Schizosaccharomyces pombe: one gene and its partners. The gene in region 4 interacts genetically with the main gene of each other region. Each region holds a gene or a part of one and is shown on either strand. Other genes may lie near its edges. The genes, in order: rfc3, dcd1, rad54 and ssb3.

Region 1 (7,889 bases), on a different chromosome or scaffold from region 4:
ATCACCAATCGCTTATTCTGCAATTGATCATGCTTCATCTTTTGCAAGCGAACAGTGTCCAGAAGGTATTGTAGCGATTCAAAAAAATACTTTAAAAATTTTCACAGTCGATAGTCTGCAAGATGACTTAAAATCTGATATTTATCCGTTAATTTGTACCCCTCGAAAAATCGTTAAACATCCCAACTTTCCAGTTTTGTACATTTTGCAAAGTGAAAGGAACTTTGACTCATTTAAATATGCTCAAGAGAATGGAGATGTGGGTTCTTCGTATACGAAGGAGAAGCAAAATGAACACACATCAAAATCTTGGGTGTCATTTATATCTGTATTTGATATGATATCTAAAAAAATAATCCATGAAAGTCCGCTGGGCGATAACGAAGCTGCTTTTAGTATGACAGCCGCTTTTTTCAAAAATAGAGATGAATTCTTTTTGGTAGCTGGTTCTGCCACTAATATGGATCTTGAATGTCGAACCTGTTCTCATGGAAACTTTCGAGTATACCGGTTCCACGATGAAGGTAAAAAGCTTGAGTTAATCAGCCATACGGAAATCGATGGAATTCCTATGGCTTTAACTCCCTTTCAGGGACGTATGCTAGCTGGAGTTGGACGCTTTTTACGAATTTATGATTTAGGAAACAAAAAAATGCTTCGTAAAGGTGAGTTGTCTGCTGTACCACTATTTATTACACATATTACAGTTCAAGCTAGTAGGATAGTGGTTGCAGATTCGCAATACTCAGTTAGATTCGTTGTCTATAAACCTGAGGATAATCACCTACTAACTTTTGCTGATGATACTATTCATCGGTGGACTACTACAAATGTCCTTGTCGATTATGATACTTTAGCAGGGGGGGATAAATTTGGTAATATTTGGCTTTTACGCTGCCCCGAACATGTTTCTAAACTAGCTGATGAAGAGAATTCTGAATCTAAATTAATTCACGAAAAGCCCTTTTTAAATTCCACACCTCACAAATTGGACCTAATGGCTCATTTCTTTACAAATGATATTCCTACTTCGCTTCAAAAGGTCCAATTGGTTGAAGGAGCTCGAGAAGTTTTGTTATGGACCGGTCTTCTGGGTACTGTTGGAGTATTTACCCCTTTTATTAACCAGGAAGATGTTCGATTTTTTCAACAACTGGAATTTTTGTTGCGAAAAGAATGTCCTCCTTTGGCTGGAAGGGATCATCTTGCTTATCGTAGTTATTACGCTCCAGTCAAATGTGTTATAGATGGTGATCTCTGCGAGATGTACTATTCGTTACCTCATCCAGTTCAGGAGATGATTGCCAATGAACTCGATAGAACAATTGCAGAGGTTTCAAAAAAAATAGAAGATTTTCGTGTTCGTAGTTTTTAAACAAATAGCTTACAAATCCGTGAACTTTGACGAAGAAGATTTATAAAGGGCATCTCTTTATGCCTATCCTTCTTGAAAAACAAAAGTTTCTTGATGTCGACTCTTCAATGTTTGGCAGCTTTTTAATATAATTATACGTCTTATGTCGATAGCAATTTCTTCCATCTAGTGTTTTTAATAAAGAAGCAATTATTAATCCTTTCTCTGGTAAGACCATTCGATTTCAAAGTAAGTTTGGAAATAGGGGTAATTATAAAAAAAAATATAAAAGTTTAGTACTAAAATAAATAAATAATGACTGTTATACAGAGTTCCCATGAAAGGATTTTCTGTAAATGCCTACCAAAATAAAGCATACTATAAGTTGGAAAACAGCTATTACTGTAAATCTTTTGTTTACGAATTAACGATGGGTTACAATTCCTTAATCTTCTTTAACCTCAGCTTAGAACTCTGTAAAAAAAGTTTTGACCGAAAAAGCAGTCACTAAATTATCAACACTATGGCAAAGGTGAAATTGGAATTTCTTCCAACCACCAAGAGGTGCACGCAACAAAATGGCAGAATCCATAGCCCGTCCATCAGTTCTCAACGCTACTGATGATGATATCAAGAATCTCTTAGCCGCCGACTCCCACATCGGCTCCAAAAACTTGGAAGTCCGCATGGAGAACTATGTATGGAAGCGTCGTTCTGATGGTATCCACATTATCAACTTAGGCAAGACTTGGGAAAAGCTTGTTCTTGCTGCTCGTGTAATTGCTACCATTGAGAACCCAGCTGATGTTTGTGTTATTTCTAGCCGGCCATATGGACACCGTGCTGTCTTGAAGTTCGCTGCCCACACTGGTGCTACTGCCATTGCTGGCCGTTTCACTCCCGGTAACTTCACCAACTACATCACTCGTACTTACCGTGAACCTCGCCTTATTATTGTTACTGATCCTCGTGCTGATGCTCAAGCTATCAAGGAAGCTTCCTTCGTCAACATTCCAGTTATTGCCTTGTGTGATACTGACTCCATTTTGAACCATGTTGATGTTGCTATTCCTATCAACAACAAGGGTTACAAGTCCATTGGTTTGGCCTGGTATCTTTTGGCTCGTGAAGTCCTTCGTCTTCGTGGTAACATTTCTCGCACCACCGCTTGGGAAGTCATGCCTGATCTTTACTTCTACCGTGATCCTGAAGAGATTGAGCGTGAAGAAGAACAAAAGGCTGCTGCTGCTGCTGCTGCCGAAGAAGAAGCTCAATTGGCTGCTCAAACTGCTGCTGCTGAGTTTGAAGTCACAGACAGTGCTGCTGGAACCGTTGACCCAACTATATTGGACAATGCTACTGCCGGTCAGGTTGGTCAAACTACTTGGGAAGGAGACGCTGAATGGAATATTACCGGTGCTGCCCCTTCTGAATGGGCTTAATTGTTTATTTCCCATTTCATGCAGCTAAAAAACCATATCTTTGAGATCACGTTATGCTAATAAATAAGAGCCATTCGTGCAGTACTTATAAGTAGGTGTGTTAAATTTCTGTTATAATTTTAAGCTTTGGTTGTAGTGCTGAAACAAGATTATTTTACAGTACAATGAATAGATTATCATTTGGATATTGAATCTTGTCGTAGTGGTAAATATAAAAGAAAATGAACTGAACAAACATCGTCTCATTAGCTGTGTTATTTGTAGAAACAGTGTAACCAACATTGAGTGTTGTGGATATTGTATGAAATCGGCGATGCGAATGTTAACTACCCATATATGTTTAAAAGTTAGATTCCCAATGTTGTTTTTAAAATTTTAGTTCATTATTGATTACAAATTATCAGTGAGTCTTTATTTTGACAAATTTCGAACAGATAAAGTATTGTCAATTCTTGAAAAAATCGTAGGTTTTGAATGTGAAGTACTAACTTTAGTGCTGTTCGTTTTCTGATTAGCAATCCTTAGAACATCACTAATATGTACAACTCAGTACTAATCAAATTTCTTGAAACTTTTAAACACTTATATGTAGACTATTCTTCTCTTCGCCCAGTACAACTGTTCAGACTCCGAACCTTCGATGTCAAGCATTCATACAAACAATTGAAGCATTTTTCTAGACAGATAAAGGAGGTATTAACGTGTTTATTCAATTTTAAGTGTCCACCGTACATTGTATGAAAATCGTATTTAGCAAACTTTTAAGTGATAAAACTTGAATAGATATATAGAATCAGAAACATAATTACATTTAAATGTTATCTTCATAAAACTATCTGAAAGTAGTGTTTATGCGAGGATATTTAGTCAACCCAATGTAACTGACCTCTAGCATCTACATCTACTGTGCAATCAGTCCTCAAACCTGCAGTCTTCCAGCATGTCTATCGAAAAAGGTAAAGGGCGTGCAATGGACATTGACCTTCCTTTGGGAAGTGAGAGTACGCTCCCATGGTAAGCTAATTACAGTGATTCTGGTTACTTTGTTTTTGCACGATATTTACATTCGCGCAAAACTCGTCATGCCATTCAAAATTACAAATTTGAGGTCTTTTGTGTCTAAATATTTACTTGCCGATTTACCTTTTTTAAGTTCCTTTATATCTTGTTAACATTTAGGGTGGAAAAGTACCGACCAGCTAATTTAGAGGATGTGGTTTCTCACAAAGATATCATATCTACGCGTAAGATTGACCATCACTTTTTTCTGTCTTTTCTAATCAAATAAATAAGTTGAAAAATTCATTAGTTCAAATAGAGTCCCTCATATGCTGTTTTATGGGCCACCTGGCACAGGCAAAACCTCTACAATTCTTGCGTGTGCTCGAAAAATTTATGGACCAAATTACAGAAATCAGTTGATGGAGTTAAATGCAAGCGATGATCGTGGTATCGATGCCGTGAGGGAACAAATCAAAAATTTTGCCAGCACCCGGCAAATCTTTGCGTATGTCGTTGATGATATTTAGTTCCAACATATGTTTGACTAACAATTTAGATCTACTTTCAAAATGATTATATTAGATGAAGCCGATGCCATGACTTTGGCGGCTCAAAATGCTTTACGAAGAGGTAAGCCATTTTTTAAACAAAGTGTGGAAGATAAAGTAAAAGAAATACTCTATAATCTTTCCGCTTTTCTAATTCCTCGTTGTTAATCCCTTCCTTTTTCCCGTTAATTTCTTTTTTCCAAGCTAACCAGTTACTAATCAGTAATTGAAAAATATACTAAGAACGTTCGTTTTTGCATTATCTGTAACTATATCAACAAAATATCTCCTGCTATTCAATCTAGATGTACCAGGTTTCGCTTCCAGCCTTTACCGCCCAAAGAGATAGAAAAAACGGTTGATCATGTTATTCAAAGCGAACATTGTAATATTGACCCTGATGCAAAGATGGCCGTATTAAGGCTTTCCAAAGGAGATATGAGGAAAGCACTGAATATACTCCAGGCGTGCCATGCTGCCTACGATCATATTGATGTATCTGCTATCTATAATTGTGTAGGCCATCCTCACCCTTCCGATATTGATTATTTTTTGAAATCTATCATGAATGATGAATTCGTAATCGCTTTCAATAGTAAGTCATTCATTAAACTCTTCTTCACTTTTAGGATTTTTTCTAACTTTGTTTATTACAGCCATTAGCTCAATCAAACAGCAAAAGGGTTTGGCCTTGCAAGACATTTTGACATGTATCTTTGAAGCACTAGACGAGCTTGAAATAAAACCAAATGCTAAAATTTTTATTCTGGATCAGCTTGCAACGATTGAACATCGAATGTCTTTTGGATGTTCTGAAAAAATACAGCTTTCAGCAATGATAGCGAGCATTAAAACTGGTGTTGATTTAGCAGCAAAGGTAAATTGAGTTGTGAACTAATTCAGAAAATCATTAATGTCGACTTTGTTTTCAACTCTAAAGTAAATATTTCATATTGACTATTTCTATCAAAAAAAAATTCTAGTCCTATTTAGAAACTTAAACAATATAAATTGTTAAAAACTCAAAAAGCAGGAACTGATAATGTACAAATAATGAAAAGAAACTAAAAAATAAAGGTAAAAGTACCTAATTATTGGAATAGCACTTCTCAGTTATACTTTAGGTTCAACGAGCACTCTTCTCCAAAAGCACAAATTCGCGAACGGCATTGACTAATTGTTTTTGAGTAAATGGTTTGGTCAAATAAAAATTCATTCCAACCTCTAAGCATCGCTGTTTTGCAGATTTCTGTATATCAGCTGTTAAAGCAATGACTGGGATTGGAGTTGAGCAATTATTTTCACGTTCGTAAGCACGGATATCCATAACTGCTTCTGCACCATCTCGGATGGGCATATGGTAATCAGCAAATATTACACTATAAAAACCAAATTGTTTAGCCTCATACATTTTAACCAATTCAACGCCATCTACCGCGGCATGAACTTGGAATCCTAAATTGCTTAATTGTTTCGTGAGCAACTTTCTAGCAATCAAATTATCTTCAGCTATTAGCGCATACTTTTTCTGAAGAATCTCCTTCTCTTCGCTAGAAAGAACAACTGCTTGATCGACCTTCCTAGGTGATGCTCGAAATTGAGAGGGCTCGACAAGTTTGGTAGGAGTTGACCATTTACTTAGTAATGCGGGAAAGTTTTGTAGTAACTTTGAAATGCGTATTGGCTCCCTGAAGCAAAATATTCTGCTTTGGTTTTTATTTAAAGAGGTTATGAATGGATCGCCGTCAGATCGTACTTTCGTTCGTTGAATCGACGGTAACAGAACAATAAGTAATACCTTGTTCAATTTTTGATTACTAAGTATCTGAGTAATTATTTGTTCCGTCTGGCCGCTGGCAGCTTCGATACAAAGAAAGTCATAAGGTTGTCGCTTATCTAAAGAATCAATTAACTGCTGTTCGATATCACTGTAAATAGTAGTTGTATCAACTACAGCTAAGGAGAAAAGAGACCTGAAAATAGATCGTGATGTAGTAAATGATTTAACTACAAGTATTTTAGCATTCTTAAGAGATTGTCGAATATTAGCAAATCTCTCATGGCTTTCTTCGAAATGTTTCTGAGATAACTTAGAAGTAACGTTACGCAATTGGACATGGAACCAGAATGTAGAACCTTCTCCATAAACAGACTGAACACCGATGTCTCCATCCATTATTTTGCATATTTGAAGGCAAATAGAGAGCCCAAGGCCTGAACCTCCATAGATTCTAGTAGTGCTACCATCGACTTGAGTGAAAGGATTAAAAAGCAGTTTAAGTTGCTCTTCTTTAAGTCCAATTCCAGTGTCCTCAATCTCAAATCTCAATTTGCATTGATTTTCTTCTGCATTTATTTCCTCATCAATAGCCATACAACGTAACAAAATATGACCCTCCGTTGTAAACTTTACGGAATTTCCAAGGAGATTGGTAATAACTTGTCGAAGCTTTGCAGAATCACCAGCCAATAAAGCTGGAACATTCGGATATATGTCGTATGAAATTTGAACAGGTTTAGAAGAAAGAGAAGGGTATACTAACTCAATGCAATCTGCAATATTCTCTTCAACATCAAAGACTTTGTCAGGCTCAAGTTTCATTTTGCCTGACTTCAATTCGCTGAAGTTCAATAGATCATCTATAATTTGGACCAACGATGTGCAACTCTGTTTAGCAGTGCTAACTATGTCATACTGCTCTTCATTTAATTTGGTATCACTAAGCAGAGAAAGCATCCCATAAAAACTCGAAAACGGAGTTCTCAGTTCATGAGACATATTGGCAAGAAAATTAGTTTTTAGATTGACAGCATGCATTGCAGCTTCACGAGCTTCCTTTTCATCATTAATATCTATACAAACAACTATCCACTTTTTAGCATTAGCATCTTCTTTAAATGACAATCCACGACACAAATGCCAATGGTAATTTCCATCTTCCATTCGTAGAAGCAATTCAATGTCGCCAAGCTCTAGAGTTTTAAGGTTCAATAATTTTTCTTGAAATTGGTGATGATGGTCCGGGTGTATGAATGTTTTCCAACTGAGTGAATCATGACAATCTTCGGGAACACCAAAATAATTCCGTTTCGACGCATTAGTGTACTCTATTTCGCCAATGTCGGAATCTAGCGTCCAAACTATACAAGGTAGTGAGTCTAAAAGGGTTATGCATTTTTCCTCTATTGCCTTATACCGTTGGTATGATAATCGTTGAAGTTCGATAAGAGTAACATTATCTGTTATCGTGCGACGCAAACTCTGAAAAAGTAAAGCATTCGAAACGCTAATTGCAATTTGCTGGGACAAAAGTTTCAAAAATGTAACATTTCCTGTACGAATAGCTCTACGCGAAAGACATAGATACAAAGCACCTATTACCGATTCTTTAAATTGAAGGGGGATTATGGCAAAAAAATCCATATCATGCTCTTCTTGCAACCATCTTAACAGCTCTGCATCTTGCGAAGCAGAAACTGTGTACAGTGAGACGATTCGGCAATGGTCAAATACTTCGGAAAGTAAAGAATCTGGAATTTTGA
Region 2 (5,626 bases), on a different chromosome or scaffold from region 4:
ACAATGAGAAATCCTTTCCTGCAGGCTTTGTAAATTTTCTTCAATACTTTTTAAACGCTCAACAAGGATGGAAAATTCAGGGTTCGTAAGCGAAGACTCATCATAACGATTATTGTGCGCTTTATTGTTGCTATCTTTCGAAATCGCTTTTAAGTTTGCTTCAAGGGAATTGAAATGAGAATCAGATAAGCTAGTAACACCTTCTAGCGATCTAGGAGCCGAATGAGATTTCGCGTCAGATTTTGGAGGTACAAATCGAAATCGCGGAGGGGGAGCGCTTGCAGGTGTTAAGTATGCCATGTCAAAAGAGTGATCTTGATTTAAATCTACCAATGGCTTAATTCGATCCTCATCTGAGATACGAATTTTAGATGCACTTAAGTGAGTAAAATTTTGTGATTGTGTACCAGCATTAGGTATTGACTCTTCATCTTTTTTTTGATCATTTAAAATATTTTTTCTTCGCTTAGGTGATAGGGAAGGCTCCTTCGATGGCCGTCGCTTTCGCTTTGAGGGTGAGTGATTCTTAACCACTGACTCACTAATTTGACCTTGTTGGCTTCGCTCCCATTCCAAATAATCGTTTTTTGTATCATTCCATAATTTCTTTAATTTTCCCAGCAGTCCAGCTGCAGGATTGAAACTCATCTCATGCCCAAATTATTTGGTGATTTAAATTCTAAATTCTTTGCAAACTGACTTCAATAATTATAGGAGTTACAAGATCGTGATTAACAATAATTTGCAACCAAAGGGTTATTAAACCTCAGGAAACTTGACAAAATTACGATCTTACCGAGCTCTACAGTACGGTCGTGAGTATTACCTAGTACACGTTAATGGCTTAATGCTTATTATGTAGTCTGTAATTAGCTTTAATGATACGTTAAATCACCAACAATCATCACTTATGTTGCTGTGAGCTCGATTATTAATTAAGTTGGTACGTGAAGTTAACCTTCTAACTTACTACTGAAGCTGCTCATAACTCAACCTCTTCCTCAGTCCAGTTGAGTTCTGTAGTGTTTTAATTTCCCGAAAACAAAAAAATTTTCCAATATCATTAAATAGGATGTTGAGAAAAAGAATATGTGCCACATATAAATATCATTGTTGAATTGCTGACTTGACAATTAATGCTAGGCCTACGATGCAATAGTAATCTAACCGTAAACATAATTTTACGAACGATTAGTATGTAATTACTGGACTTTTAGAAGAATTCTGAATATTCGCACATAAAAAATATTATTCGACAGATTCCATCGTTTCACATGAGTTTACATGAAATGCGCTCATTATCAAATTTGATGTGATGAACATTAATTAGATAAAAATGGTTTCATTGTTAGTTGAATGCGTTTGTTCCGAGTTTCTCCTTAACAATATACAGTTAATGATCTTATTGTTGTTGCTGTTGAAGTACACAGCACTTAAGTACAACTTTTGAGTGCTCTAAACTTTAGCGTGACCAGCAAAAGAGAGGTCAATACACTTAAAACCAAAAACGACTTTATTCGAATTCACTAAAAGGATTTTTTAGATTCTTGGTCCAGTACAGTGAAACGTAAAATCTGAAATATTCAAGGATTCGTGAAGATTTGGAAGCAAATAGTTTTTAATCTCATTAAATATATATTTTATTTTTTAAAAAGATTACAGATTATAGAAGCATAGTTTTACGAAATTGAAAGTTAGCATTTTCGCAACTCGTTGTTGGTATTGATAGTTAGTATCATTAGGTATGTGAGTACGTTAAAACCGATCTATCTCTAACTATTTGGGGAGATAATCAAACTGAAATACGTTTCTTAAGCTTAAGTAGCTTTGTTTGATTTATTAAGCAAATAAATATGCCAACTGTTGGTCTTACAGGGCCATTATGTAGTGGAAAAGATGCCGTTGTTGAATACCTTGAGACAAAGCATGGTTTCAATGCTATTTTTCGATTACCACAACTAAACGAGGATGGAGAATATATATATAGAACTGGCGATTTAGTCCTTGGCAGCGTTGACGATCTTATTAGCTATCTCACTCCAAGATGGCGCGAAAGATTTGTAATTAATGGAATTCATAGTCCACGTTTGTTAAGTGCATTGCTCAAACGTCCGTTCTTTTTGCTTGTATATATTGATGCCCCAATTATGCTCAGGTTCAATCGCTACAAAACGTATGTAATATTGCAATGTCAACATGTTGTTGCTAACTTTAAATTCATTGTCATTATTCTTCACGCAATGTGTTCAGTGTAAGGACCTTAATATCTTGTTAGTTTCATTCATTTCATGCTCGAAATTACACGGTTACATAAGCTCCTCATGATTAACTGAATATTGCGTGAAATAATAATGATGACATATAGTTATTCTTCTCTTGCGAATACCACACTTGAAGAATTTTGTAGTATCCAAGACGCGGCTGCATTTCAATCTGATAATGCTGGAACTCGACACCGAGCATTGGCTAATTTACTTATAAATAATGATAGCAATATTAAACTTCATCTATGGGAGAAGCTTCAAAAAGCCGATCTTTTGAATCCCAATAGATTTCGCCCATCATGGGATTCGTACTTTATGGAAATGGCAAGTCTGGCTGCGAAGCGTAGCAATTGTATGAAACGTCGCGTCGGTTGCGTACTTGTGCGAGGAAATCGTGTTATTGCGACAGGCTACAATGGAACACCTAGAGGAGCCACTAACTGTAATGAAGGCGGATGTCCACGTTGCAATTCTGCTTCTTCCTGTGGAAAAGAACTTGATACCTGTCTTTGTCTTCATGCCGAAGAAAACGCTCTTTTAGAGGCTGGCCGTGAACGCGTTGGAAACAATGCAATATTATACTGTGATACGTATGTAAATATAGACATAAAGCTACTAACAGTCGAAAGATGTCCCTGTCTTACGTGTTCTGTCAAGATTACTCAGCTTGGGATTAAAGAAGGTATGTTTCAGTTCTTTAATCTTTTACTAATGCTCAGTTGTCTATCATACGTCTTACAACATGGACTCCCATACCGCTTCTCTCCTTCAAGCCGCAGGAGTTCAATTACGACAATATATTCCTCCGGAAAACAGCATTTTCTAAGTTAATAACAGAACTTACTTTTTAGATTACCGCTCTTTTTGATTGCAGAAAATACGATTTTAATATCTTTATTTAATACTTACAATATTGATGAGATAACAATCAAATAATACAATAATTATTATTGAGCTATAGGAATATTTAATCGTATTTAAGTAACTTTTTCAAAACTGATACCATTTCCTCACGTGGCACAAGCTGACCTTCATCGCTATTTTCTTTTAAACCCATTTGTTTAATACGAACAGATCCCTTTGCAAACTCATCTTGACCCAAAATTACAGCAAAAGGTACGTCGAATTTATCGGCGGCGTCAAATTGTTGACGTGGTTTGGGTTTCACTTTGTAAAGAAATTCTGCTTTAATGCCATTTGCCCAAAGGTCTTTACAAACAGACATACGCTCTTTCAAAAAGCCGGTCCATTCTTTTCCACCTCCAAATGCCATAACGAAAACATCAACATCATTTGCACGGATATCCTCATCAGGAATTTTTGATCTAAGAATTGAAAAAATCCTCTCTAAACCAAGGCTAATGCCAACACAAGGGATTTTGGCGTTTTTCTTTGCAGCAAACATTCCAACTAAATTGTCATAACGTCCACCAGCAGCAATCGAACCAACGCCAATAGAGTCATCATTGGAACGATCTGCTTCAGGATCAGCAGATTTTTTCTTTTCCGCCGAACTCTTAATCTTTGGAGCAGAAGCCTCTGTTACTGCTTCGTAAATGATACCAGTATAATAATCGAGACCACGCGCTAGAGACATATCAAATGAAAACCTATCTAACACTCCAAAAGCTTCCAAATAATCAAATAAAAGACGCATGTCGTTAAATGCAGCAACAGCCGAGCTATTGCTTGATAGTAAACTATCGGCTTCAAGCTTATCTAAAAGAGAGCGGTCGCCTTTTAATAACACATACTCCTTAATTTTATCTGCCACCTCCTCTTTAAGTCCTTTTTCAACCACCATTTCACGTCTGACATCTTCCCAAGGGAGTTTATCTAGCTTGTCCACAGCACTGGAAATGGTACGAATTTTGTCATCCGGTACACCACAAACAGTAAAAATGCCATCCAAAATTTTTCGATGATTAAGCTTGATAGTATAATTTCCAACTTCTAATGCATCTAATGCTTCCACTAAAACCTTTAAAGCTTCAGAATCGGGAATCATAGGATCGTAGTTGCCAGCGATATCAAAATCGCATTGATAAAATTCACGCATACGGCCTTTTGTCATAGCTGGCTGATCTCTTCGATAAACCTTTGCAATATGGAATCGCTTAATACTCGTAACTTTGGGATTCATAGCTAACCAACGAGCAAATGGAACAGTCAAGTCGTATCTCAAAGAACAAAGCTCTCCACCTTGATCTTTCAAATCGTAAATTAGCTTGCTGTCTTCTCCATATTTTCCGGAAAGAATTTCTTTCAATTCGAACACTGGCGTATCGAGTGTTACACCACCATGACGCTTGAATATCTCTGTGACAGTTGAAAAAATGTGCTCACGTAAAACAACATCTTTGTCACACCAATCTTTAGTACCCTTCGGAGTTTTCAGTGTAAAAGATGTGTCTTTTTTCTTTCCTGATACTTCCGAACCCCCAAGTTTGAGGTTTTTCAGTTGAAGTAATTTAGCAACTTCTTTATCAATGTCCTCTTTAGAGGCGCCTTGACTTTTCAAAGATCGAACAAGATTTCCTTGTGAAGTTATTCTTTCATTTATATCTACTAGAGAATCAGCCATAGTTCTCAAGAAACGCCAATTTAAGAGGCTAGACGAAAATTTGGTGGTGAATAGGTTTTTGGTAAAAACAAACATGCACTAACTGAAAATGCAAATCTCAGTATTACATCCATTTAAATACATTTTACGGTGATTGAAGGACTAATGAAACCATTTGTCATGTTGATTAAATAACCAAGAAAAAAATATAGAACCTTGGATAATGAAACATTGAAAATTTTTTGGATTTTATGTTATGCAAACCAAGTGGGATAATTTCATTTGAAAATAAAAACTAGTTATTATATATTTTTTATAAATTTAAAAACCTAATATTTGTGAAATGACAAGTTCTATAAGTAAAAATTTAATATCAAAAAACCTTTTAAAATATGGACTTTTTTAAAATAGTAAAAACACTCAAAAAAATCAAAAATAATGTATTTTAATATTTTAGGATTTAAATCATTACAAAACCCATTCCACTAGGCCTCGAATAATCAACACTTTTAGAAGCATCGATTCCTCCAGGAATTTTTGGACAGTTATAATTATAGATGTAATAGTTCAAAAAACCGTCTCCTTCTCCAAATTTTAGGTCCTTCAAGAATAGATTGTTATCCAAAACCGTAACAGCATTGAATACATCAAAGTGGAACTGTTTTGAATTATTAGCAAGTAATAAAACCATATAAACTTACCTTTTTAGCCAATATAAGAGCATCATTAACTATCAATTTACAACGTTCAACGAATGCCAACTGTGATTCAGAAGATAAGTCTTTTGGACAAGAATCAG
Region 3 (5,062 bases), on a different chromosome or scaffold from region 4:
GTTTTAATGTCGTTTGAATGTCCTCATTGTGGGTTTAAGAATGCGCAAGTTCAACACGCTGAGACAATTCAACCGGAAGGAAGCAAAATTACTTTCCATGTTGAGGATAAGGAAGATTTAAATCGGACAGTTGTAAAGAGCCAGGAGGCTATTGTCAGTATTCCTGAAATTCAGCTAGAAATCCCGGGAAGGTTAGGCCAGTTAACTACCATTGAGGGGATTCTGAGTAATGTGGTGGATGATTTAAGTAAAGAACAAGAATCTCGTAAGGAGTCTGCTCCTCAGTTATATGACCAAATAAATGCTTTCATTGAGAAAGTGAATAGTCTACGTTCTGGATCTGTACCATTTACCATCACAGTTGACGATATTACGGGCAACAGCTGGATCGAGATGAAACCTGGCCGAGATGGTGACCGATGGTCTCAGGTTAGCTACAAGCGTACTTTGGAGCAGAATACGAAGCTGGGTCTTGTGGATACTGATCAACCTGAAGACGTCAAGACACAAACAAACAACGCTTCTAATACACTTAAACATGATGCTACTGCTGTGGAAGTCGATCCCAATGAGGTACATACCTTCCATGCAACTTGTCCCTCTTGTTCACATCAATGTGACACCCACATGAAGTTGCTTGATATTCCCCATTTCAAAGAAGTTATTATCATGTCTACTGTTTGTGATCGTTGTGGATATCGTTCCAACGAAGTAAAAACTGGTGGTGAAATTCCACCCAAAGGTCGAAAAATTACTTTAAAGGTCATGGATGCCGAGGACTTATCCCGTGATATTCTCAAATCTGAAACCGCATCTCTTAAAATTCCTGAACTTGGACTTGATTTGTTCCCAGGTACTTTGGGTGGACGATTCACAACCATTGAAGGTCTTCTAGCTCAAGTTTATGATGAGTTATATGGCCGTGTGTTTTCTCAGGAGACCGATTCTATGACTCCTGAGCAAGTCGCTAACTGGCAACAATTTCTCTGCAACTTGACGGCTGCACGTGAGGGTGCTACTCAATTCACTCTTATTTTAGATGATCCTCTTTCACAAAGTTATCTGCAGAATTATTACGCTCCCGATCCAGATCCAAATATGACTATTGAGGAGTATGAACGTTCATTCCAAGTAAATGAGGAATTGGGTCTGAACGATATGAAGACAGAAAACTATGAAAAGGATGGAGGTAAGAAGTAAAGTTCGAGGTTTTTGTCAAATGTTAGGGAATGTATTTAATATAGTAATACTATGTTTTTTTGGGGGGTTTATTGACTATGAAGATATAATAGTATAGTAGATTAGCTAATTTTTATTTCCCGTAATGTTTTTGTTAGAGACTGATGCTTTATTATTTTACTTTTAGTTTAAAATAGTTACTTGATTTATCGCAAATGTTATGAGGCTAATAATTCGAAGTATTAGTAAACCATAAAATTTGCTACAAGAAATGTTAGATAGTGAAGCTAAAATTATTACCAATAACAAACTTGTAACACATATTTAGCCGATACCAGAAATAATTGATTCATATTTCACAATTTCATTATTTGTATACCATGTTTAGTGAAGGGTAACAATGGTGCGTAATTTAAAGAACGCGACACGCTATAATAGTAATAGAATTTAATTTATATATACATCTAGATATTTCTCAACACATACCATTGGTATAAACAGCACTTTCCTTTTTTTTTTGTTTGAATCCTTATCCCTCTTTTCCTACCCTTTCTTCTATTTCAGTAATCTCTTTTTTAATAATTGCTAATATATTTAATGATTCAGCAACCAACAACTGCTAAACCTAGAATTTCTACTTCTTCAAAGTTAAATACTGTTTTATCAAAAAACAAAGAGAATGTTCCTGGAAAGTTGTTTAAAAAGTTTAAATGCCCTTCTTTAGTGATTTCAGAAAAGCGAAAAGAGCTTCCTTTACGCAAAAAGCCAAGAGTTAACTACAGCGAATATGGTTCTGTTGATGGGAAGTATGATTCAGCTTACGTATCTGAAAATGTGTCTGGGTTGGCAACCATCAAAGAAGCTAATCGATTAATACTAAATCATGAACGACGAGATCCCTCAACAGTCATTAAGAAACAGTTCTCTGTGCCTAAACCTATCAAGGGTCATGAAGATATATCTAAACTGTGTGCACATCGTCCACCTCCTACACTGGGAATGAAAAGGAAGGTGGATTTTATTCCTCGTCCCCTTTACGATCCTGCTGATGAATTTGCTATCGTTTTATATGATCCCACTACTGATGCAGATGAGATCATTCCTGATATAAAAGAGGTCTTAGCGGAAAAACGTAAAAAAGATGAATTGTTAAAAAATCGAAAAGGAAAGAAAGAAATTTCTGATAGTGAGCCTGAAAGTGACCATGATTCATGTGTCTCCACTGACACAGTGGCTAGCTGTTCTACCGAGCAAAGTCTCATAACCTCTAATACCTCAAAGCATAGAAGACCAAATAAAAGTTTGAAAGATCTACTAGGAATTCAGAAAGAAAAACCTCCACCTCCTCCTGTTGCTGTTGTCATTGATCCAAAACTTGCTCGTATTCTAAGACCTCATCAAATAGAAGGTGTCAAATTCTTGTACAAGTGTGTAACTGGAAGGATTGACCGTTGTGCAAATGGATGTATTATGGCAGATGAGATGGGACTTGGTAAGACACTTCAATGTATTGCTTTGTTATGGACCCTTTTAAAACAGTCTCCTCAGGCTGGAAAACCGACAATTGAAAAGGCAATTATAACTTGTCCTTCTTCTTTAGTCAAAAATTGGGCTAATGAACTTGTCAAATGGTTAGGAAAAGATGCTATTACTCCATTCATATTGGACGGTAAAAGCTCCAAACAGGAGTTAATCATGGCTTTGCAACAATGGGCATCCGTACATGGACGACAAGTCACACGTCCAGTGCTTATTGCCAGTTATGAAACCCTTAGAAGTTATGTTGAGCATCTCAACAACGCAGAAATTGGAATGCTTCTTTGTGACGAAGGTCATCGTCTTAAGAATAGTGATTCTTTGACTTTTACGGCATTAGACAAGCTAAACGTTCAAAGGCGTGTCATCCTTTCTGGTACCCCTATTCAAAATGATCTAAGCGAATACTTTTCGTTGTTAAATTTTGCGAATCCTGGGTTGTTAGGTTCAAGGCAAGAGTTCAGAAAAAATTATGAAATTCCAATTTTAAAAGGTCGTGATGCTGACGGAACAGAAAAAGATAAGGAGAATGGTGATGCTAAGTTAGCTGAGTTAGCCAAGATTGTCAATCGGTTTATTATTCGTCGTACGAATGATATTCTCTCCAAATATTTGCCTGTTAAATACGAACATGTTGTCTTTTGCAACCTTTCCGAATTTCAGCTTTCTTTGTACAAGCATTTTATTACCTCGCCTGAAATCAATAAAATCTTAAGGGGGACCGGCAGTCAACCACTAAAAGCTATAGGTCTGCTAAAAAAAATATGTAATCATCCTGATCTATTGAATTTAACTGAGGACTTGGAAGGTTGTGAGGCTCTATTCCCTCCAGGATTTATTCCCCGTGAGCTAAGAGGGCGCGATAGAAACATTGACTCCTCTTTATCAGGTAAAATGTTAGTGTTGGAACGAATGCTCTATCAAATAAAACAAGAGACAGACGATAAAATTGTTTTAATTAGCAATTACACCTCCACGCTTGACTTGTTTGAGCAGCTTTGTAGAGCTCGCGGTTACAAGGCTCTTCGGCTAGATGGTACTATGAATGTAAATAAACGACAACGTTTAGTTGACACATTCAATGACCCGGAAAAGGATGCTTTTGTGTTTTTATTATCTTCTAAAGCAGGTGGTTGTGGTATTAACCTTATTGGCGCTAATCGTCTTATTCTGTTTGATCCCGATTGGAATCCAGCCGCCGATCAACAAGCTTTAGCTCGAGTTTGGCGTGATGGGCAAAAGAAGGACTGCTTTGTTTACCGTTTCATAGCTACTGGAACCATCGAAGAAAAGATATTCCAAAGGCAGTCTCATAAGCAATCTTTGTCTTCTTGTGTTGTGGATGAAGCTCAAGATGTCGAAAGACATTTTTCGCTTGATAACTTAAGGCAGCTGTTTCAGCTTAACGATCACACAGTCTGTGAAACTCATGAAACATATAAATGTAAACGGTGTCGTGATGGAAAACAATTCATCCGAGCCCCAGCCATGTTATACGGTGATACTAGCACATGGAATCATTTTACAAATCCCACATTAGACCGAATAGAAGATCACTTGCTAAAACGTGAGGCAGGAAAACAGCAAGTGAGTACCGTTTTCCAATACAAATCTCATTAATTTTTACGTGTTTAATTACGCTGCTCTCTTCACAAATCCTCATATTTTCATTTAGTTTGATTTGTCTTTAAACTACTCTCACCTCTCTTTATCCCTGTTTGATTTGCTATTCGATGCATAAAACAATATCATGAATTTAATTCCGGTTTTTAAAATATAGTTTTTAATTTAATTAATATCCAACCCTCAATTGTATCCTACCAAACCTCAATTACTCCTTGGTAAGCTTTGTGACAAAATTATTACGAATTTACAGGTATGCTGAAATAAATTTTTTTTTTTAGAATGTTATATTCAATTGTTAAGAGCATATAATTTGTCATATTTTTCTGAAACATTTGAAATTGCATTTGTTAGTATTCGAACCCGTGACAGTTTTAGCACTGCTTTTCTATATTAAGATTGGGATGTCTCGAATTTTTGTTATTAACCATGTAGCTACTTTTAGGCAAACTGCATACATCTTATATGCTTTTTGTCACTCTAATAGCTTATATAAACATTGCTTATGTCTAAATACTTTGGACGTTCAAACTCGTGAATGTTCCAATATAGGTAGAAGCTTACATAACCAATTATTTATTTAAGGGTTGTTTCATTTGCAATCTTATATATTACTTCTAAATATTATATATGCATATTTACTTAACAAAAATAGTAACATTCAATAGTAGTTAGACCCGGATTATAAAGCCAATCGACAAATATCAAGTTTGCTGGCAACGGA
Region 4 (6,810 bases):
AATGCTTCGTCCGGGAGAATATCAATATGCGCTTTAACACCCAATTCTTCCAACATGACCTGAGGTGTTGAAAGTTCTGAAACCATTAAATATCCATGATAAATATTTTTTTGTACCTTTGGAAGTCTCTCTATATATTTTAAGGCCCAGAAACGATTAATGTATCTTCCTATAGTTTTAATTGATTTTTCTTTTTGGTTGTACAAATTTAGTTTTCCACGAAGAATACCATCAGGTATAGTATTTTTTGGAGTCTTTAATAATACCGACTGAATCTGATGATGAGTGAAGAAGTCGGTAAACCGGCGTAAAGGAGAGGTAGACTGAATATAGCCATCCTTTAGCCCCAAAGAAAAGTGGGAAACAGGTGTGGAGGCTAAATGTGAACTTTCAAATAAAGGCATTACAGAAAGTGAATACTTAGTTTCAACGAGTCCCCAAGATGACCTGTTACTTAACAAAGTTTCAAACGCTTTTCTTCGTACACCATCCATAATTGGATAAGGCTGGCCCCTAAAAATCCCAGGTAATTTATGTTCTTGAAAAAATAATGATGAAACCCGGCCAGCCAATATCATGCACTCTGATATTACTGATTCTGCCAAGCTATACCCTTCACTAACGTTCAAACTAATTGTAGGGAAGGAAGACCAGTATACTGGATGATTCAGATCACCAAGATTATAAGGGACATTATTAGGCAGCAATTCAACTGTCGGAGTGGGTTGTGCAATAACAAACGCAAACTTTTGTAACCTAGAAAAACAGGCTTGTTTCGAAAGTTCATATATTCTTAATATATCTTTCATGTGATCATTTGATACTCCTTTTGTTTCCTCATCCACTGGTCCAGAAACGATGTCTTTCGCAATTGATCGATTACTATGCAAAGCTTTATCCAGTTGTTGGGGTGTGTATTTGATAACTGAGGAAATGAAGCTAGGCCGAACCTTGTAATCAAGTATATCGCCATTTTTTGAAATTTTAGCACTAAAAGTTAATGCTCTTTGAGCTGTAGAAGATGAATCTAAACTCCAATATTTCTGAGTGATATTGAGAGGTAGCATATACACAATTTTGTTGGGATGATAAATAGTTTGAAAGTTCCTTTCAGCAAACGTGCCTAAAGGACTGCGAATGTCAACTGTACTCGTAGGATTAGCAACATGGATATGAAGCCAGGAATTAGACATCCCTAATTCTTCAACCGAAATCGCATCATCTATCTCTTTCGTAGAAGAACTATCAAAGGCGAACGCTTTAAGATGCCTTAAATCGACGCGTTGCGATTCAAGTGAATCTTTTAATTCATTTTTTACAAACTTTTTAAAGTGATTACACTCACGTTCATACACAGCATCTAACTGAGGATTAGTACCAAGGCCAGCAATGCTGTATTCCTGTTGAAACAACCTCGGGGGCTGCCATGAAGCCCACACGCCAATATCCGTTAAGAATTTAGCAAACTGATCACTAGTTAATCCCCTCTCGTGAGTTTGAAGGCCAACTTCTTTGTAAACCTGACACAAGTGTGTATTTGGTAAACTTTGAATACTTTTTGCAATCATTTCCTGAACAAGATACCGCAATAGTTTTTTTTCAAATTCAGTCCAAGTGACCTGTGAATAAACTACGGGTTTTATTTCTTCGGTGCTTATAGGTAACTTATATTTATCTCGGGAAACTTGAATTAAATGACGAGCTTTCTTTATAAACGAAAGATATGGTGTTGATTTCTGACGCAGGCATGCAACAACGTCGTCAAAAGAATCATTTTGTGAAGAGGGAAGGAAATAGACTTTTTGAATTTCGGAAAATATGTGATCGCTTATTAAAAAATGTTTGCTTTCTGTAAGCAAAAAGTGTAACAATGAGATTTTAGCATATGGGCTAGGCTTCGAAGTTTTGTACACAAATTTCAAAAGGTCTGAAAAAGAAGCTGAATTGTCAAGTTTATTTGGAATATTGAATTCTGTCAATATTCGCAAAAATTCATTTCGGTGACTTCGACTTAAATCTTGTGCTCTTTGAGAGATTTTTTTTAATAACTTTATAGTGAAAGGTAGGACATCAGAAGGAACAGAAACATCAGAAAGAGGTTGCTGCACCTCTTTCAGCTTTTTAAAGACATTAGGACATCTCAGTAAAACTCTAGATGTACGAAATTCCTTAATAGTACCGTTTTCGTTAATGCTGGTCAATACATTACTATAGTTCCAAACATTAGTACCAGTGCATGCAGCAAGTTCAATGCCTTCGGAGCCCCTATAAAACACTAGCAAATCTCCACGATCGTACTGTCTAAAATTCTCACTGCTGAAATCTTCTAAATCAAAAGAATACTCAAAATCATTTTCCAACTTCTCTTCCTCAGATTTTGTAGTAGTAGGACAAACAGCAGCGCGTTTGTCCTTCTCGAACTTGTCTTTCAACCACTGTCTAATGTTTCCATGATTTTCTAATTCAGAGAAAAATTTTTTAAGGTTTTCCTCATTCACGGATTTCAAATTAGCATTTTTAAATCGATCAATAAGATCTGATTGAGTATGCTTCAAACGCGCACCACAATGTCCCCAAAGATGATGATCGTTTGCTGGTTGTTTCCCGAAATTTATTAGGCATCCAGTTATGCGGAAATATTTCAAAACTTTTGAACTGGAAGGGCAAGCATGATGAAATTTCCTTGTAAGTTTACAAGGAGACAATTTTAAAGACAGGCATACACGTTTTAATAAATAATTAGACTCTAAATTAACATTTTGAAGAAGAAACAATTGCCTATAGTTCATGGGCAAAAACCCTATAATTAGTAACACCAAAAATAGTGTTGATGGTAAATTCGACTAGAGAGCTGAACCAGAGCACTTTTAGGTACTAGCAAGTATTAAGGTAACAAGCTCTGCAAATGTAAATGAAGAGTGGTTTAATAACTAATGTAACAGAAGAAAGATTTCAATATGAGTATGGAGTTTTTTGATTTTTTTTTTTTTGAATTGAATGGTCGAGGGGATGGGCGACTTCAAAGTGAAATACATGAAATCACAACCTCAAGGTAAAACTAATTGAAAAATTATATCATTAAAAGAAGGCTGCTTTCCATCAATTACATTTACTTTTAATTATTGAAGCTTCTGGTCTACGCCTAAGCAATTTACTAATAGTGGTATTGGAAAAGAGAGAAAATTAAGAGTCGCCGACGATTTCAAAAATAGTATAAAATACCATGAAATCTTTCCATAATGTTATTTAAATCACTATATGTAAGACGTATTTATATTGGTCTTTAACCCGTTTATTTACAACATTTCAACCAATTAATAAGTAGTGAAATTAACGCAGAAGGATACAAGGAGATTTTTTTATGAATAATTCTTATAAAAAATAGAACAGTAATGTATCAACGTTAGCCCCCAGCGTTTATATTTACGCTTTTGCTTTTTTATTTACATCCCAGCGCCTTCCAACATATAATACATAACGTACTGCGTTCCAATATTTTAAATAATTCGTGTCAACAAGTAGTTAACTACCTGGTCTGATACATACTTCACTTCCACCACTTTATAAACAACGCGTATAAAATAATATGGAACGCCCTACACCTCGAGTTACGAAAGATATGCTACCAGAATGCTCTGGAAAAACGGTTCGGATTGTTGGCAAGGCGAATCAAGTTGAAGGTGAAACTGCAAAAGTCGATTCCAACGGTTCTTTCGATATGCACCTCACTGTGGTACGTTTTATCTATTTTACAATCGGTTTTCAGAGTTTTTTTATTTTATCTAACTAATTTTAGGATAACACTCTTGAACCCAATCATTTCTATGAATTTGTCGTTTCTGTCAAACCAGATTCTTCGGTGCAGCTTTTAACCTGTGTTGATTTTGGCACTGATATTGGTAAGTTGTGTTTATAAAAATAATAAGGAAGTCCTTTGAACTTCTGCTTCTGCTAAGTCCTACATTCTATTGACCGATTAACTAATTTCCTGTTCCTTTAGATATGGAGGTATACCAGAAACTCGTTCTATTCAGTCATAAGTATAACTCACTTTTTTTTGAATAAGAAACATTTTATGGATCATACAACACAGATTTCTCTTTCATTTCTCATGCACAGTACAAATAAACATGGAAGAATAAACGCGCAGAATCTTGCTTCCTTCTTTTGGTTTTTGCATATTTTATTGCATTTCTAAACTCAAGCTTTTCTTTTATAATGATTCTTCCTTTTGGCTAATACAAATATGAATTTTACTATCGTTTATTTCACTTTTTTTGATTCTTGTTTGAGTATTTTTATATAACGTTCTCCTTTTTTCGCACTATCTTATTTAGTGTATCCTTGAGATGCTCATCGCGGACGATTCGGCTCCGAAGACGGTACATACCGGTGTTTCTTACGTTTGCTCATCCTTCAGTCACCCTGCCATTGTAACAATCCAACTACCATATATATACAAAGCGAGCAACGCAAGTATATCTAGTGGTACTACGCTGAATATCGCTTATTCCTAAAGAAAATTGGTTGTTTTGAGAATTATTATATTACTTTTTCCTTTACAAACTTTTTTGCTAAAACTGTTGTTTAGCAGTTATTGAGATTGTTAGAGAAATAACGTTAGAAAACGTGCATATGCAGAAGTTGGATTGTTTCGGAATTGCTCCGATTGAAATACTCTAAATATATCTGACATTTGTTCTTTGCATTTCTGTCTGCGCCTTATCTTTAGAGATCAGACACGTTTCTTTGAATATAATCTAACTTGCTTGCATGTTAAATTGGTCGAAACAGAGATAAAAGATATCCTGGAATTCATGGTAAACCATCGAGATCTCTTACTAAAAATAGAGAAAAAAGAAAAGAGTTAAGTATTTCGAACCCTATAGTAATTTAAGTCTTGGGAAAATACCTTTTTTCATTTAATTCCATTATTTCTAATTTCCTTTGATATTTCTTCTTTTACGGTGAAAAGAATACCCTTTGCAATCTAAACTGTTAATAGTTTATTCAAAACCAACATTCGTTAATTTTATCGATACAAAACCACGATGAAAGATTCGGAACATCACCATCATGGCCACAACGGCTTTAGTAAGTTTCTCCATAAACTTGGTTTTGGCAAGTCAAAAGGAAAATCGCATAAAAGCAATACCAGCAGTATTCATGAAAGAGAAAATACTGCTGCCAAAGGACCCGCCTCTAATGTGCGTCCTGCTCGCCCTAATGTTAGCACATCTTCCACTTCGAACGAGGTCAGAAAATCTGTACCTGTTGGTAATCCTACTGTACATACCAAAACAGGGTCTTCTTCATCTCCTGCCTCAAAGATGAGAAATACAGTCAACTTGCAGCATATTCAAGCAGCTAACCAAAAAACTCGTAATGCTGAAGGTGAAAGAAAGGTCGCTCAACGCAGGGTCCAATCTGATAAAGCTGAAGCTAATGATGCAGCCATGAGTAGTTCAGCTCCAACGGTAGATGTTTCCGAAGGTAATTCTGCCGCTGAACCAAAAATTACACCCGATGATTCAGATACACCCAGACTTAATGTAGATATGAATGATAAAATAAATGTCGATGAAGCTGCTGCTAAATCTGATAGCAAACTTAATGTCGATCAGATTAATTCTACTACGGAATCTGAAAAAAGAGTTGAGAAAGTTAATCCAAATATTGCGAATAATCCGCTAAAATCACCGGATGCAGTAGCATATAGCAGTGAGACGGTTTCTGATGAAAAACAACCTACTGAGCATCCTGTATCTGCTAATGTCCCTGCAAAATCTGAAAAAGCTGTTTGTGATGAAAATACCAAAATTTCGCTTACAAACACAGAGCATTACAAGTTTCATTCACTTCGCGGAGACGTTGAAGTTGTTGTTGGTGATTTGGAACGTGACGGAAGAGATACCTCTTTAGGCGATGCTTCGGTAAATGAAGCCGCTAAAGAAACTGACGTCGACTCTAGTCGTTTTATTTCAGATGAAAAAGCCGTGACTGAGGATGCGATGAAAACTGAACATGCCTCCAATGCCCCTCTCACTGATGAAAGGCATTTTCAGTTCCATTCTTCTGAAGGAGACATTGAAGGAATCGTTGGGACAATGCAGCGCCAAAGACAATCTGTCTCTTCGTATGACACTATCGTTCCTAGCCAATTCTATAAACAGAAGGTGGTGCAAAATAGCCCCCCAAGCTTGTTGAGCACTGATAACAAAATTCCAGAATCCGGCTCAGATCATCCCTCAAGTCAAGATAATTCCAGTAAAGCATCCTTGGTAGAAAACTCTCAGACACAATCATCTACTCCGAGAAAGCCGTTGCCAACTACCACTAGTCCTAAAGTAAATCCGGAACCGCATAGCGAAAGTATATCTGACACACGACCTTCTACTCCTAGAAAAGTGCCACCAAGTACAGTTCCTAAAATGAACCCGAAGCTCCAGGGTGGCAATAGCGTTACAGCCCCTTCCACCCCTAGTAAAGTGTTGCCAGCGATGAGTCCCAAGGTGGCTCCCAAATTCCAAGGTGGACGCAGCAGTACAGCGCCCTCTACTCCTAATAAGGTATTACCAGCAGCATCTGCTAAAGCTGCTCCAAAGCTTCAAGAAAAAGCTGCATCATTTGACATTCCTAATAAATCTACTATTATCTCTACTAAGTCAACGGTAGCATCGCCAATTAAAGCAAATGAGAACAGTCCTGCCTTGAAGTCTAAAGCATCTTTTGAGTTCCCTAAGGAATTAGATCCTGATGGTACTTGGAATGCACCAATTCCTTATCCTGATGCAAATTGTCCTATGGCTC

What was found.
Region 1: mutations in ssb3 (region 4) and rfc3 impair growth when combined (synthetic growth defect), as found in Schizosaccharomyces pombe (one study listed by BioGRID).
Region 2: mutations in ssb3 (region 4) and dcd1 impair growth when combined (synthetic growth defect), as found in Schizosaccharomyces pombe (one study listed by BioGRID).
Region 3: mutations in ssb3 (region 4) and rad54 impair growth when combined (synthetic growth defect), as found in Schizosaccharomyces pombe (one study listed by BioGRID).

Annotation. Positions count from the first base shown.
Region 1 is NC_003424.3:4,031,630-4,039,518, reverse strand, and holds rfc3 (DNA replication factor C complex subunit Rfc3), read left to right. Parts: upstream 1-3,686; 5' UTR 3,687-3,736; coding exon 3,737-3,810; intron 3,811-3,975; coding exon 3,976-4,040; intron 4,041-4,089; coding exon 4,090-4,303; intron 4,304-4,354; coding exon 4,355-4,428; intron 4,429-4,569; coding exon 4,570-4,941; intron 4,942-5,002; coding exon 5,003-5,232; 3' UTR 5,233-5,374; downstream 5,375-7,889. Other genes in the region: prp12 (U2 snRNP-associated protein), read left to right, coding at 1-1,375; rps002 (40S ribosomal protein S0B), read left to right, coding at 1,933-2,796; phosphorelay sensor kinase Mak2, read right to left, coding at 5,473-7,889.
Region 2 is NC_003423.3:3,456,462-3,462,087, reverse strand, and holds dcd1 (deoxycytidylate deaminase), read left to right. Parts: upstream 1-1,768; 5' UTR 1,769-1,853; coding exon 1,854-2,173; exon of another isoform or gene 2,174-2,321; intron 2,322-2,365; coding exon 2,366-2,854; intron 2,855-2,893; coding exon 2,894-2,946; intron 2,947-2,983; coding exon 2,984-3,090; 3' UTR 3,091-3,231; coding exon of another isoform or gene 3,232-4,923; 3' UTR 4,924-5,126; downstream 5,127-5,626. Other genes in the region: protein Csi1, read right to left, coding at 1-648; histidine--tRNA (His) ligase Hrs1, read right to left, coding at 3,232-4,923; myr1 (N-myristoyltransferase 1), read right to left, coding at 5,288-5,485, 5,529-5,626.
Region 3 is NC_003424.3:3,679,860-3,684,921, reverse strand, and holds rad54 (DNA repair protein), read left to right. Parts: upstream 1-1,656; 5' UTR 1,657-1,776; coding exon 1,777-4,335; 3' UTR 4,336-4,562; downstream 4,563-5,062. Other genes in the region: EF-1 alpha-binding zinc finger protein Zpr1, read left to right, coding at 1-1,200. UniProt on the Schizosaccharomyces pombe protein: Plays an essential role in homologous recombination (HR) which is a major pathway for repairing DNA double-strand breaks (DSBs), single-stranded DNA (ssDNA) gaps, and stalled or collapsed replication forks.
Region 4 is NC_003421.2:1,279,141-1,285,950, reverse strand, and holds ssb3 (DNA replication factor A subunit Ssb3), read left to right. Parts: upstream 1-3,549; 5' UTR 3,550-3,586; coding exon 3,587-3,733; intron 3,734-3,796; coding exon 3,797-3,899; intron 3,900-4,000; coding exon 4,001-4,065; downstream 4,066-6,810. Other genes in the region: rpm1 (3' ssRNA-specific 3'-to-5' exonuclease), read right to left, coding at 1-2,789; pdr16 (sec14 family protein), read left to right, coding at 5,052-6,810. UniProt on the Schizosaccharomyces pombe protein: As part of the replication protein A (RPA/RP-A), a single-stranded DNA-binding heterotrimeric complex, may play an essential role in DNA replication, recombination and repair.